Linked DNA regions of Drosophila melanogaster. The protein of the gene in region 1 interacts with the protein of each later gene in a pairwise test. Each region holds a gene or a part of one and is shown in the gene's direction. Other genes may lie near its edges.

Evidence for each region. Proteins that work in one complex are often made in the same cells at the same time.
Region 2: the proteins of P5CS (region 1) and Ctps interact in a two-hybrid assay, tested with the Drosophila melanogaster proteins (one study listed by BioGRID).

The regions. Positions count from the first base shown.
Region 1 is NT_037436.4:21,968,551-21,975,850, forward strand, and holds the start of P5CS (Delta[1]-pyrroline-5-carboxylate synthase), read left to right. Parts: upstream 1-3,451; 5' UTR 3,452-3,596; coding exon 3,597-3,692; intron 3,693-7,300. Other genes in the region: Chs2 (chitin synthase 2), read left to right, coding at 1-1,117.
Region 2 is NT_037436.4:15,094,510-15,101,891, forward strand, and holds the start of Ctps (CTP synthase), read left to right. Parts: upstream 1-3,404; 5' UTR 3,405-3,841; coding exon 3,842-4,007; intron 4,008-4,024; exon of another isoform or gene 4,025-4,278; intron 4,279-4,334; exon of another isoform or gene 4,335-4,356; intron 4,357-4,751; exon of another isoform or gene 4,752-4,993; intron 4,994-5,544; exon of another isoform or gene 5,545-6,131; intron 6,132-6,477; exon of another isoform or gene 6,478-7,382. Other genes in the region: GlyRS (Glycyl-tRNA synthetase), read left to right, coding at 753-3,050. UniProt on the Drosophila melanogaster protein: Catalyzes the ATP-dependent amination of UTP to CTP with either L-glutamine or ammonia as the source of nitrogen. Constitutes the rate-limiting enzyme in the synthesis of cytosine nucleotides.

The DNA.
Region 1 (7,300 bases):
CTACATAACCATCCCTTCGATGTACATGCTTCTCATGATCTTTTCTGTGTTCAACATGAACGATGTTTCGTGGGGCACTCGAGAGGCTCCAGTGCTCAAGGACGACGGCAAGGACGCAGTCGATGAAGCGAACAACTACCTGCCAGGCTGGCTAAATGATCCGCTATTGATCGACTCGGAGCTGGGCGAAGTGTCGTTGATGGAGCAGAGATTCTGGAAGGATCTGATAAAGCAGTATCTGAAGCCATTGGAACTGAGTAGGGAGCAGAAGCAGGCGATGGCCGACGGACTTAAGGAGCTGAGAAACATGATCGCCTTCGCCTTTGTGATGGTCAATGCGATCTTTGTGCTCATTGTGTTCCTGCTGCAGCTGAAGAAGGAGTTTCTGCACCTCGAGTGGCCTATTGATCCTACAGACTTTGTATCCTTCGACAGGGACAACCTAATGGTTGGCATCTACAGGCAGTACAAAGAACTGGATCCCATTGGCCTGTGCTTTGTGATTTTCTTTGGACTGATCCTGATCATCCAGTTCCTGGCGATGTTCTTCCACCGCTTCGCTACCCTGTGCCAGCTGCTGGCCACTACTCAGGTGGACTGGTTTCGAACAGGAGGTCAGTTTACTGACGAGGATGCCGCCACCGAGCTGAAGGGCAGTGCTGTCAGTATAGCCCGGAAGTTGCAGCGACCCAAGAGGCTCTTCGACGACGACGAGGACGGGGACCCCCACTACGACGAGGTGTTGATGGATTCTTTAGAAGGGGAGCACAGGGAGAGCATGGTGCGACGGCAGACGATCTTTCGGCTTCACGAGACGCGGGACAAGCAGCACAGCGACTACAGCAATCTGGTGTTTAACTTTGAACGCCGTTTCTTTGGAGACGACGAGCTGAACCTTAAGAATCTGGCACTCAACCGAAAGTCAGTGAAGCTTCTGCAGGAGCGTCGCTCTGCGGCCAAGGTCAATGCAGCAGCCACGCCCGAGGGCACGCCAACTCCGAAGGCTGGAAAGCGACCGCCTGTGGTGCCGATGGCCAAGAAGGTGAGCTTTACGGCCTCAAACCGGAACAATATGGCTTTGTACGACAACGGCGGGTACGAGCACACCGAGTTCTAGAAAGGATCAAGCTGATGACCAAAGTATTAACCAGAGAATCTTGTAGAGTACTTACTATTGCACATATCTAGGTGTTTTCCACTCTGGACTCGTTAAACAATTTTCAAGAATAGAGTGCCAAGATAGCATTTCTTATCCGTACATACCCACAGTAATCAATAATACCCTAATTAATATGTATTATACAGTTAAAAGCCATCAAAACACCCCTTACATTTGCATATCCTTATGACCTTATATAATCGAATCCCCAAGTTTCTTGGTGGCATAAAAAATATAATTAATTGCATTTAACTGAAGTGGCAGAGGCAGCCAAGTCTACTTCCCTTCTAACTGAAGACATCTCATTAGCATAATTACCAGATGCAGGCGATGGCAATGTCGGGGGGTGGGGAAGAGCAGGACAAAGGAGGGGCTTCTTCATTCATCAATGTCGGGGCAACGCTCAGAGTTAAGTGCTCGTGGTGGCGATGCGCTTTTTGCTTGGAAAGTTCTTGCTCCTCTTCGTTACAAAATGCAAATCAAAGTGTGATTAGCTTGGATTTGATGAAGTTTCTGCAGCAATGCACCTTAGCCGCGCCCATTCGATACTGGTGTGTGTGCGCGGGGGTGTGGCAAGGTGTCAGCGTAAGTGTTTTGTAAGTGAATTTTTCACTGCCTGCGCAAAGAAGGCACAAGGGGGCAAGCGGGCCAGGGCGTAAGAAGAGTCCTTTCGCCAAGGACTGACAGGACTTACTTTGGCAATGCGCATACATTAGGTATAGAAGGTAAGACGGGAGTTCCACCCGCGCAGTACCAGCAGCCAGGTCTGCCACTGGCTTGCCAAGTGCTGAAACCCAAGATTACGGGCGAAGAACACGACTAAGTAATGAACTCGGTTGGTCAAACGGAAGGTAGCCATCGATTCGATGGCGCACCGATATTCATGAAGGGGGGCACAACTTTGTTGGCTTTATAGCAGTTGCCGAATACTGTGTTTCTGCACTAGATTTAAATTGGGAAACTCTTTGAAAGCGCACGCCGAAATGCATTCAGCCAGAGGAAACAGTTACAACAAGCAGATATTTACATATTTATTTGAAAGAACTCCAGAATTGAATAGCTACTGGCAAAAAAAGTCTCAAAAAAGCACAAAACCAGCAATGTAACTCATTGCATAACAGAAGAAACTGAACTATATTATTTCGCTTGACGCTACAGCTATTCTTAGCATTCCTTTGGCCTACTTGGCGTATGCGTGATGTTCTCGTTTTTTTTACTTGCTCCGAGGCATATAGATTGAGAGTTTTCTTGCGAATGTTCTGTGTCGCTGGTGCAACAAACATAACCTAGATCGAGTCATAAACAATGGCACAATTCGATTGAAAAACTTGTTCCAGTTTTTGTGGGGTTGAAGAAAGCGGGGACATAATTTAGCACTTATCTGACCCCAGGCAGCCCTATCCAAAACAATCAAGAGCACCCGGCCCCTCCAGAAGTTGCCATTTGCCTGTTGCCATTTGGTATTGTGCTTTATGGCTTTTCTATGCATTGAAATGGCAATCGTGGACAATGCACAGGACTCGGGACACAGGACACGGGGCAAAGGACACGAAGGGAAACAACTATGCACAAAGCTGGAACAAAACTTTTTAATGTCACTTAATTAAGAACAAAAATTCTGCGCCCGGGTGTCAGTCGGGCATTTAGTCTAGACTGGTTTCTGCTGTTCAGCGGAATCCATTCCGGACATTCTGAGCTAGAAGAGCCTGCATTTCACAGGTAATCTGACAGTCGTTTCCCTTATTACTGGTGCTGACGCTATTGAAAATAATTAAATAAAGGCTGCAGGATGGTTGCACAATGTGCACTGATTATGCGCCTGTTGAAATTCTGCGACTGTCAAGGGGCTTTTCATCGATGTAAACAAGTTGAGATATTCAACAGTTAATTAATATTTTAAATGGCCAGTTTTTTATAAGTATTTTTCAGTGCTAGAGTGGCAGTGATATTTGATGGGCAATTTACTGTGAAGAACACGAAGTTTCGTTTCTCTTGACGTGGAGGACCAAAGATGATTGGCTGCATCAAGGGGTTTTCGTGTGGCACCTTGCATCGTCACTACCAAAACGCACTGCTCCATTGACCTGACAAACAGCCAGTCACCAGATAAGCCCACTTTCCGCCGCCTGCTGCACTTGATAAGACCCGTACTCTCCCCGGTTCAATGTTTGTCCCAGTCCAAGCTACCGGAGAGTGATAGCTGCTTGACTGATAACACTTTGAGAGAGTCCACCGTACACCAAATTTTAATCGCAATCGCAATGAACACTTACAATTACACATGCTCGCCCCACATTATCTCGACCAGCGACCAAGGCGGTCAGTCCGTTGGTTCGCCGCAGTAGAAATCGTCGGGCTTAACGGTTCGGTTCCGTGCGCGTTCCGTGATTTGTAATAGCTCCTTAAAAACACATCCCCTCTAACTCGATTCCCAAAAATGCTGCAAAACAGTTTCAAACTGGCCCAGAGCCTTCGAAACGGCTTCTACAGAAACGCCTGGCGAGCGTTCAGCTCCCACGGACCCCGGCAGCCAGTGAGTGATGTTTATATAAGCACAGTGCGATGACAGTGATTTTACGACCTAATGCTACGTCTGGTGGCGATGGAAAAGTTCTTGAATGCAAAGTCCGTCTCGGTTTTGTGCTAGTCGGAATGGACCTTTGGATGATGATCAATCCTTATCAGTTCTTTGTGTTTAGGTGGGGAGAATCATTTGTGCAGTGGCGAAACTGGTTGGAAAATTGTTCAGAGTGGGAGTCTGTGTCCTTAGCCACAAAGGAAAATTGTCCATTATCAAAATTGATGATTATAAAATAGAAAGAATTATTAACCTGATGAAAACGAACATTCAGAAAAATGTATATTTGAAGTGCCCTCTAAGGTCCACCCTATTAAGCAGACTTACATATGCACACACAGAGAAACATATTTTATTAGCTATTAAAAATTGACAGTATATTGACCGATAAGCGTCGATTAATGTACATTTCAGCGAAGAAATTTATGACAGCCCGAGTCATGACGACTGAACGTGAAGCCATTGTCTGGGAGATTCAGGCTCCCCAGATACACCGAACACATGCCTTTAGTAATAATGAGCAACAAGCGGCCCTTCTCAGTCTAGTGCTTTGTTTTGATTGCATAAGCTTTTCAACAGCTTCTGCTGATTGGGGGACACCCTATGCCTGCCTGCTGAAAATTTTCCCTGCCACTTATGTCTTATCAGAGCCACATCGAAGAGGCAAAACACTGTTGTGCGATTTAACTTTAAGTTCTTTATGGCCGACCGACAACAGCTTGAAAGGGTTTTGGAGTAACCCTAAACCAGGTCATAAACTGGGGCAAATGGACCGTCAAAAGCGGGGAGTCAGGCTAATTGAATGACCATCGGGCGAAGGACTCCCACTCATCGGAGCTGTAAATCATTTACAGTTTCGGTCTGATTTCCACTGACATGAAAACCAGGCGATTGTCGAGTGGTGGGGAGTGGGAAAAGTGCCCGACAAGCTGATAAAATGTTGTCACAGCTTGACAGCTGGTGGACCGCCAGGACTATTGGGTCAGCAAATGCAAAAACGTGTTCAAATAAATTCTAAAAGTGTAAATATTGTATTTTCACACAACAGGAGGGGGAAAAGGGAAATGAAAGGCAGGGCTTCGCAATAAACTTAAAACCCCTTTAAATATGCAACAACACTGGTGACGCTTGCCCTCAGGCAAGGACTGCGAGTGTGTCCTGCCCCCGGGCTCCCCCTTCCCGTCACCGCCGCATTTGCATATGTCCAACATCAGGCCCAGCCTTTGACACTCAAAACGATTTGCCTAGGTCAGGGTCGTGGAGCACCCTTTACCCGCCACCCCAGGCCACCCAGGCATCCCTTCCAAGCCACACCATTCCCATGCGGCGCCACCTCCCCGTTGACTCACTTCATTTTGACACGTGTTGGCAGTTATGGCGCCTTTGGTCCTGGTCTCGACTCTCTTTCAAGCTGTGCGTGTGTGAGGCACATCATAAAAAGTCTATCGAAACAAGCAAACTATATGCATCCGACAATAAGATACCCTGCGCACGATTCATGTGAGCAATGTAAAGCTAAGAAGAACACTTCGTCTTATGCCCAAGAAATAATGCATATATTTCAAAAAGGTTTCCAATTGCATTATAGTTTATGCAGCTGGGTGATGTTTCTGTTATTTGAAAATATAGGAAACAAAATGTTTTTATAGTCTAGGCTTCTGGTGGTCATACCCATATACACAACATTTAGTGGGCATAAGAATCGCTTTGAAGCAGTTTCTCAAAATCCAGTTAGAAATAACGTGCACATTAAGTTAAATAAATGAGTATACTTTCTCAATGCATTTGTCAATGTACCAACTCCAAGACCTCCAGACCTTTATTACCCATTAGTTAGCTGTATAAGTGGAACTTCCAACTTTCAGGGCTGTGATGGCCAATAAACTACAATTACTATTTACATTGCAAGGCATTTAATGCTAATATCATAACTAAATGAGGAAGAGGGCTAATACCGTTTACCTTAACTCAGTACTGGGTTACCTCAACTTCTACAAAGTTTATATTTTGTGTTAAACTTACTCCGCGCATTTTATTTCCCAAAATCCACAAATTCGTTGGGTAATGGTTAATAAATATACATAGTTCATTGTACTTGTCATTGGTCAGTTATAATAACAAAACTATTTTCGGGACTCACACTTCCCGTTAAACTCTAGCTTAAACTTGAGTATAAGTTCTCTTGCCTCTAATACTCCCATCTACTGCTGTACGAGTACCAGGTATAAGTCAAACAAAAAATGTCGTGTAAACATGAAGCACTGGGAAACACGCGTGTAGCCCATCAGAAATGGCAGCCAGCGAAGGGGCGACATCGTGTCAGGGGATCCACTAACATCATTCCCGAACATCTGTCGAGGGCTGCCAGAAATCGTCAAAGTTGGGCCGGACTGTAGATAAGTGTGAAGCCCGCGAGGAGCCAGAACTCATGTATGTGGCAGCACCAGCATTAATTGCTCAGTAATTACACGGACTGTCATCGCATTTGACAGGCCTCAGACACGGGACGGAAGGGGCAGAAGATGTGGCAGTCGATTCCGGTCACTATCTGCACTTCGATTAGAAAAAAATCGAAATGGGAGCCGAGGTCCGAGGCGACTCCTGACCTTCGACTAATTGCATTCGATATCACGCATACGCCATGAGAGCCGGGAAAACAAAATTGGTTCCACCGGCGGTTTTCAGCCAGACGCAGTCGTAAAAATTATTGGTCGCTTTGCTTTTGGATTTCTTTGCGATAGTGCTAAAAACTTGTTTTGTGATAAGGCACGGGCGAACAATTAAACCAAGTTAACAAACAGAGCATTCTTGATTGTCGACGGGTGCTTTTATTGAGCTGCACTTGATACTTGCCATCAGAATTGTCTGACGAACATAACGAAATCAAAATATTTACGCCTCAATTTGACTTGATTTTTCTGAAATAATCGACACGACAAACGCGACGAGTTCTACGTACAAAAAGCCCCGATTGGATGTTATTGCGCGTGAAAGGCAATCGAAGCCCCCGCCCAAACAAACCGATGGTACTGGGGCCAAAAAGAAAAAAAAAGCTAATAAAAATACTTTTGATTGATGGACAAGCGAGGTGGGATGATGAACTGCATCTGTTGGGGTAGGAAAAACAAATTTGCTGTTTACTCTCTTGTTTTCTGAGCAGTTATCTCCTCAACGCGCTAATCTTATCCTCCTTCGGTACTCTATTGAAAGGATATTTTGATATTGTTTATAAAGTCGTCTTTTTCTTAATTGCTTTTGAAAAATACATTGATGAATTGAATGAAGTAAAAAAATCATCCGCAAATATTTGTTAATAATTTTTCAATTGAAAAGTTCCCTGAAAGAGTATATAACCTTTAGGGCTTAAATTAAACAAATATTATCGAGATTTCTCTATTAAGATTTCTCGTCGATAATTTTATAATAAATAATCGTTTTTCTTATGCCTCAGTTCAGGACTCTGGAGAAAACTTTTTAAAGTTTATTTTCCACAAATCAATATGGGTTTTCATTTCGGTATTTAATCTTCAGAATACTGAATACCCAGAAGGCAGGTAAAAATT
Region 2 (7,382 bases), 6.9 Mb from region 1:
TGTTGTTGCAACGCCGCGTCCCCTCGGATAGAAAACAACTAAACTCGTCCTGTTTTTCACATTAACCGCTTGTTTTTCAATTTGTGCGCTACGCGTTTGAGCAATTGGTTTGGGCAGCACTTGAGTTCGGCCGAACTAAACCAAAATTGAGCAAATTATATGGGAAAAACCAGACTGCAATGCTGCGCCTACATAATTAAAACAAAAACTAAACATATCGATAACGAAGAAGGCCCTACCCGATATCGATGTACTGGAGTGCTGAAAAACATCATAAGGTGCTGTTATTATCAGCCGCCCTGTTAGGGACAAGTGATCAATGTTGCCGACACGGTAACAGTGATTTTGGGATACCTTAATTTTATCAGAGCATTGTTTTTAAATTTAATTAATTTTTTAATATTATTAAATAATAATTCCATCGCTTATTCAACTATAAGTAAAGATGAAAGAATATGTTGAAACTATGTTGAAACCAAACTATCCAAGACACATTTACCAAATATAGCAAATAAAAAATAAATATAAAACAATAAAAACAAATAACATTTACCAAAGTCGCAACATTGCGCATCACTGAGCAGCTCTGTTAACCATAATCAGTGTTGTGCAAAGACAGTGCTGCAAGCCGGCCGACTAAGACTCATCCAAGTCGAAATTGCAGCCGAAAGTGAAGGTATTGCAGCAGTAGCCAATTGGACGGTTTATTACATAAATTCGCGTTTTTCGGCTGAAAAAATAAAAGCCTCTTTATGTCATTGCAGTTGTTAAAAGCGCTACCCCACCTGCGCAGCGCCACCACAGCCGTGAGAACTCAGATTGCAAGAACAACGTGGAGCGAGCACATTGCCACGAAAGTGTTTTTTAGCACCACTACCACAAAACCTACTCCCTCCGCACCACCACCACCTCCACCAACGCAACCGCAGCAGCCAGCTGCAACCACAAGTTGGGGCACCAAGAAGCAAAATAGAAAGGTAAAACTAAGATCCGCCGCTGCCGAGTTCATCATGTCGAATCCCGAGATTGAGGCTCAACTTGCCCCATTGAGGGAACGAGTTCAGGAGCAGGGTAACCTGGTGAGGGATCTCAAGGCGAAGGGTGCCCCCGAGATCGATGTGAAAAAGGCAGTAGCCGAGCTGAAGGCACGCAAGAAGCTGCTGGAGGACAAAGAGCTCGCCCTGACCCCCAGTGTCGTTAGTTTCGATCGCGCGAAGATGGAGGATCTACTCAAGCGTCGCTTCTTCTACGACCAGAGTTTCGCAATTTATGGCGGCATCACCGGCCAGTACGATTTTGGACCCATGGGCTGTGCCCTCAAGTCCAACATTCTGGCCCTATGGCGTCAGTATTTCGCCCTCGAAGAGCAAATGCTGGAGGTGGACTGCTCTATTCTGACTCCCGAACCTGTGCTCAAAGCCTCTGGTCATGTGGAGCGTTTCGCTGATCTGATGGTCAAGGATGTCAAGACCGGCGAGTGCTTCCGCCTGGATCATCTCATTAAGCAGGCTTTGGAAAAGCTATCTAAGGCCAAGGATGCAACTCCCGCCCTGCAGGCCGAGTGTGAGGATATTATCATTAAACTGGATGGCCTGAACAAACAGGAATTGGCTGGTGTCCTGGCCAAATACAACATCAAATCTCCATTAACCGGCAATGATTTAACAGAACCGATTGAGTTCAACCTGATGTTTGCCACCCAAATTGGACCCACTGGCTTGGTCAAGGGATTCCTGCGGCCCGAAACTGCCCAGGGTATCTTCGTCAACTTCAAGCGACTGCTGGAATTCAATCAAGGCAAGCTTCCCTTCGCTGTGGCTCAAATTGGCAACTCCTTCCGCAATGAAATCTCACCCCGATCGGGATTGATCCGTGTGCGAGAGTTCACCATGGCAGAGATTGAACATTTCTGTGATCCCGTGCTCAAGGACCATCCCAAATTTGGCAACATCAAATCGGAAAAGTTGACCCTTTACTCGGCGTGCAACCAGATGGATGGAAAGTCTGCCGCTCAGGTGCAAATCGGCGAAGCAGTGGCATCCAAACTGGTGGCTAATGAGACACTTGGTTACTATATGGCCCGCATTCAGCAGTTCCTGTTGGCCATTGGTATCAAACCGGAGTGCTTGCGATTCCGGCAGCACATGTCCAATGAGATGGCTCACTATGCATGCGATTGCTGGGATGCCGAAATTCTTACCTCCTACGGATGGGTGGAGTGCGTAGGATGTGCGGATCGCAGTGCCTACGATTTGGGACAGCATACGGCCGCCACAGGTGTGCGTTTGGTGGCCGAGAAGCGTCTGCCGGCTCCCAAAACGGTCGAGGTCAGCGAGATTGTGCCAAACAAGCAGGCTCTCGGAAAGACCTTCAAGAAGGAGGCAAAGAACATCACGGATGCGTTGGCTAAGCTTTCGCTGGAGGAGATAACCAAGGTAGAGGAACAGCTGGCTGGCGATGGTCAATACAAACTGACCACGGCCGATGGCCAAAGCCACGATCTCGGAAAGGACACCATCAGCGTTAAGCACTCTACGAAAACGGTCCATGTGGAGGAGTTCATCCCGAGTGTGGTTGAGCCTTCATTCGGCATTGGTCGCATCATGTACTCCCTGTTGGAGCACAGTTTCCAATGCCGCGACGGCGACGAGCAGCGGTGCTACTTTACGCTACCGCCTCTGGTGGCGCCCATCAAGTGCTCCATCCTTCCGCTGTCCAACAACACCGACTTTCAACCTTATACTCAGAAACTGTCTTCTGCCCTGACCAAGGCGGAACTTTCGCACAAGGTGGACGACTCCAGTGGATCCATTGGCAGGCGGTATGCCCGCACGGATGAGATTGCCATACCCTATGGCATCACCGTGGACTTCGACACTCTAAAGGAACCGCATACGGTGACTCTGCGAGATCGGAATACTATGAAACAGGTGCGCGTCGGTCTGGAGGAGGTTGTGGGCGTCGTCAAGGACTTGTCGACGGCGAGAACCACCTGGGAGAGTGTCACCGAACAGTATCCTCTGTTCGAACAGCAGGAGGCCAGCAAGTAACTGGTTGATCAAGGAGTTTCTTTCGCTTGGCACGCATTTACAGAGTTTCAAAGTTTTCTTATTTTTGTATAAATAAAATTCAATAATTCAATAATTTCTTATAAAATTCAATAAATATGCAACATTTAATGCTTTGCGCTTTGAAATGGGAGTGTGTTTATCTTCAATATGAATTTGATGTTTATTTTCAAAAAATATTTTTTCTCGGTGAAATTTCTTTTTAAATTATTTAATATAATTTTAAATATGCACATTTAAAGTTGTTTGGATCTATGACAATTCAAATTTACCGGATATTATGATTTATTTACACTTAAAATTGGTAATATAAAACGTGAAATTCCTTTTAAAAACGCAAACTATACACAAAGAGTAAAAATATAAACAAGGGAAAGTAATACGAATTATAGGCCATTTTTTCTTTAGATTTAAATCGCAAGTTTCCAAATAAATATGTAACCAGTCCTCACTGCTATGCTAAAATTACATTTGATTCTTGTTTATTTTTGCGGGAACTCAATTTTAATGCATAGGAAACCGCGCGGTTTTTGTGACGTTTAACAACACACGGTGAGTCACTGGTATTCTCAATGAAATGAGCGGTGGTCATACCATAAATACGTATGAGATATTAAACGAATCCAATTTCTAAAACCACGTGCAGCAAAGGCAAATAAACAATAAATTGTGGCTCGGATTGCCTCAGATTGAGTGTCCACCGCGAATTGAACCGATAACACGATAATCCTCCACATTTGGTGATCCCAAAGATTGACATTCGAGACGAAAGGATGAAATACATCCTGGTAACTGGTGGCGTCATTAGTGGCGTGGGAAAAGGAGTGATTGCCTCCTCGTTCGGAACGCTTTTGAAATCCTGTGGTCTGGATGTAACCTCGATCAAGATTGACCCCTATATCAATATAGATGCTGGAACCTTTTCGCCTTATGAGCATGGTGAGTTTTCAAGAGGTCTTCCCATTATTTTATATGGTGTCTATAGTATGTCTTGCTTTCGACATTCGAAAAATGTCTGGTCTCTTATTTTGGCAATTTTTCAATATTTTGCCCATCTGTGCGAGTGTAAGTGTGCGGCGAGTGTCAGTATGTGCATCTATTGTTGTAAGACTATTGTTGTTGTAAAGCCACGCGTCTGGTTATAACCACATGGTGTGAGGTGACGGAAAAGGAGAGAGCGGTGTGGCGCTCTCCCGCCAAAATAAATAATCTGAGCAAAAACAAACGTTTAATAACAAATAAATAAAGTAACAATACATCACTTACGATATGGGAAAACTTTTCAAATCTATAAAGACAATAATATATAATAATAATTATTCAATAATAAATGTAAAGTGAAACTAAATTTTACGATTTGTTTAATTTGATTTAATACAGGGTGCTTATAAAAAGAATGAGATGGTATCAAAATCGCATTTAAAGTAAATGGTAAAACTGTTTTTCTCAGTGTAAATAAACAAGAGGATGTGTAACAGAGATGCATAGAAAGGCAGTCGTCAGCTGTTTTTCATGCTCTCTATTTCTCTCGCTCTCTGATAACCAGCAACAATTGCACGTGTTCTTGAATCTTTGAGTCGGAAATCGAAAAGAAATTAACGCTTTTTCTGCTGGCAACAGAGATAGCAAGCAATTGCTACCAATGCTCATGCTCTTGTACAATGAAAGTTAGATCTCTCTCACCTTCTTCCTTTCTCTTTCTTAATCCCGCTCTTTGTTTTTGGCTCTCTCATCACAAAATTGCCTCCCCCAACCGGCAGACGTTTTTATTGTTGCTTGACATTGAAAATGAAAGTTTTTTCTGTCCGTTTCACTTGCTCTGCCTTGCTGGTTATTTTCTTATTTTTGTTTTGCTTTCCTTTTTTGCCTCTGTTAGTGGAGAAGGGAAACTTTTCACACAGGCGCACTTCTAATAAATTGAAACTGATCCGAACCCACTGGCGGCTCAATTATAACTGACAAATAGAACTTATTGTTCCTTACTTACATTTAATGATACCGTGTGAGTTGGGAAATTTATTTTATCTCTCTCTTTTTATTTACAATACGAAATTGATTGTACTCTCTTGCACTTTCTCACTGATCCGTTTTACTCACTCTGTACTTCCCCTGGCAAGTTGATGATAGCTACAATAACAACAACGTTTAATAAATAAACGGCAGCAGCGACACACACTTGCAAATTTATTTATACAACGTGCCAATGCAATTACTATGCGTTTATTTGCATGCGTGTGTGTGCGAGTGTGTTTGGGTGGTGGGCGCCTACCACTGTGCGTATGTGTGTGCGACATGTGCCGCAGCGTTGACCTGCAGGATTTGCTTGGCCGCTCTGCGCGTGCGATTAAATACATATGTATTTATGTAGTAACTTAAAGCGAAAGCAAAAAAAAATGTCGGTAGACAACGTTCTATCACAAAAATGGATTTTATAATATATTTAATGATCATTTAATGATCTGCCCGACAGGGGCTTCGGATAGGATGAGATGGGTACGTATGGGTATTGGTCCTCCACAGTACCAGGTCCCATCACATCGAATCGGATCGGATGGGTTTTGATCGGAGAAAAGAGGAACCCGTTTTGCGGCATTTTGATTTATAGGCGACTTATGCACTTGGCAGCCGCGGTGGGAGTGGAACTCGCAGCTGAGATGACACGTCTGACCGAATTCATAAGCGGACATCTGGCCAGGGTGCATTATATATTACACGGTATACATATCATAAGCTAAGCCTCGACGGGCACGGGAATTTCAATATTATATCGTGTACGCTAGGCGCCCTCACAATGCGGGTCAGCTGGAAAGCATTCGTATTGGTTAGTGTTGAGTGTTATAACACAACGTTCGCCTCTAGGCCTACGCATCGGGCACATCAAACAAGCTGGGCGGGCTTTTGTTGACGGCTGCCTGTTGGATCATCCGCTTGGCCTTCTCCAGGGACAGCTTCACCACCTCGATGATCTCGTCGTCCACGCCGCCGCCACCTATTGCCTTGTCCACATCGGTCACCTAGCAGTAGTACATGGTATGCTTGGCATCCGACGAAACAACTCCAAATCTGCAAAGGATTGAGGTGGGAATGCATTAATACATTTTATTGTGGTTAGTTTATGCGTGAACCAAACGGATACTGTTAATATGATTTTCTAGCCAAACATAAAATAACTAGAAGTATTCGTTCATAATTGAAATGCTTGAATAAAACTTAGATACTTGAACATGTAACAAAGTACTCTTAGTTGGACGGTTTATTAGGTTAGGTTAATATTTACACTTTAATTAATATAAAAGCGTATATCTACACAGTTGCTGAACATATAGTTAAAAAAGGTTATTAAGGTTTTTTTTTTTGGTTTAATACCCCTTGAAATGAAATTATTTAAGTTAAAAGTATTTCTACTCACCTTATCAATTATGACTCACTTTGATTGGTGTATATGGGCCCTAGCAACTTCGATGAATGAAATGGGCGGCCAGTTCATCTCCCTCGCGCAACGCACCAACCACCACCGCCCCCGCTAGCCCATTCATCCATAGGGGATTACTGTCTGCCGCCTGTCATTTGCATTTTTGTGCCCAGCTTACACTTTTTGCGGGTCGAAATGCACAAAATGCAATTCTGCTCATTTGTTGTGTCTGTAGTTGTTGATGTGCGCTTGAGTTCGCTGCCGACGTCGACTGCGACTGCGACGGCGGCACATGCGTGTGCTTCATTTGTTGTGCGTTAATTTCGGTAGTGTAAGTGTGAGTGGGTGCGAAGAAGGGCGGTAAGGATGGGGGGTAGGGAAAGAGGAATGGGAAATGGGAAATGGCAAGGGTCGCCATAGTGGCCGCTGCGGTGTTCCATCTTTTGAGGGTGTCTTCTTCTAGCTGCCGAGTGCTTGTGTTGCTTTGTGGCTGCTGTTGTTGTTCTTGCTGCCTGGGCTTATTGCGTGTGCTTTGCGCTCCGTCATGCTCCCTTCCCTATCCCTGCCCCTCCCACTTCCCCCTACATCGGTCCATCGGTCACATTAGCGTTTTTAGCCATAAAAGAGCCAAGCTCTTGTGCTCTCCGCCGTCCACCGCCTCCGCCTGCTGCTCATCGTCCTCTTTGTCCTCTCTTTCGCAGCTCTGTCTGCCCATTTGGTTGCGGCCGTCATCGGCGCGTCAACATCGTTAGCAGCTGTTGCTCTTTGCCTGTGCGCCATTAACTGCACCCCCCAACCCTCTGGCACCAGCTCTCTTCCACCGCCTTTTTGGCCTGCATTTGCTTTGTTGCTGGATTTCTGCTTGCGCATTCGTTACGCTCACGTTTCGTTTCGCGACGACA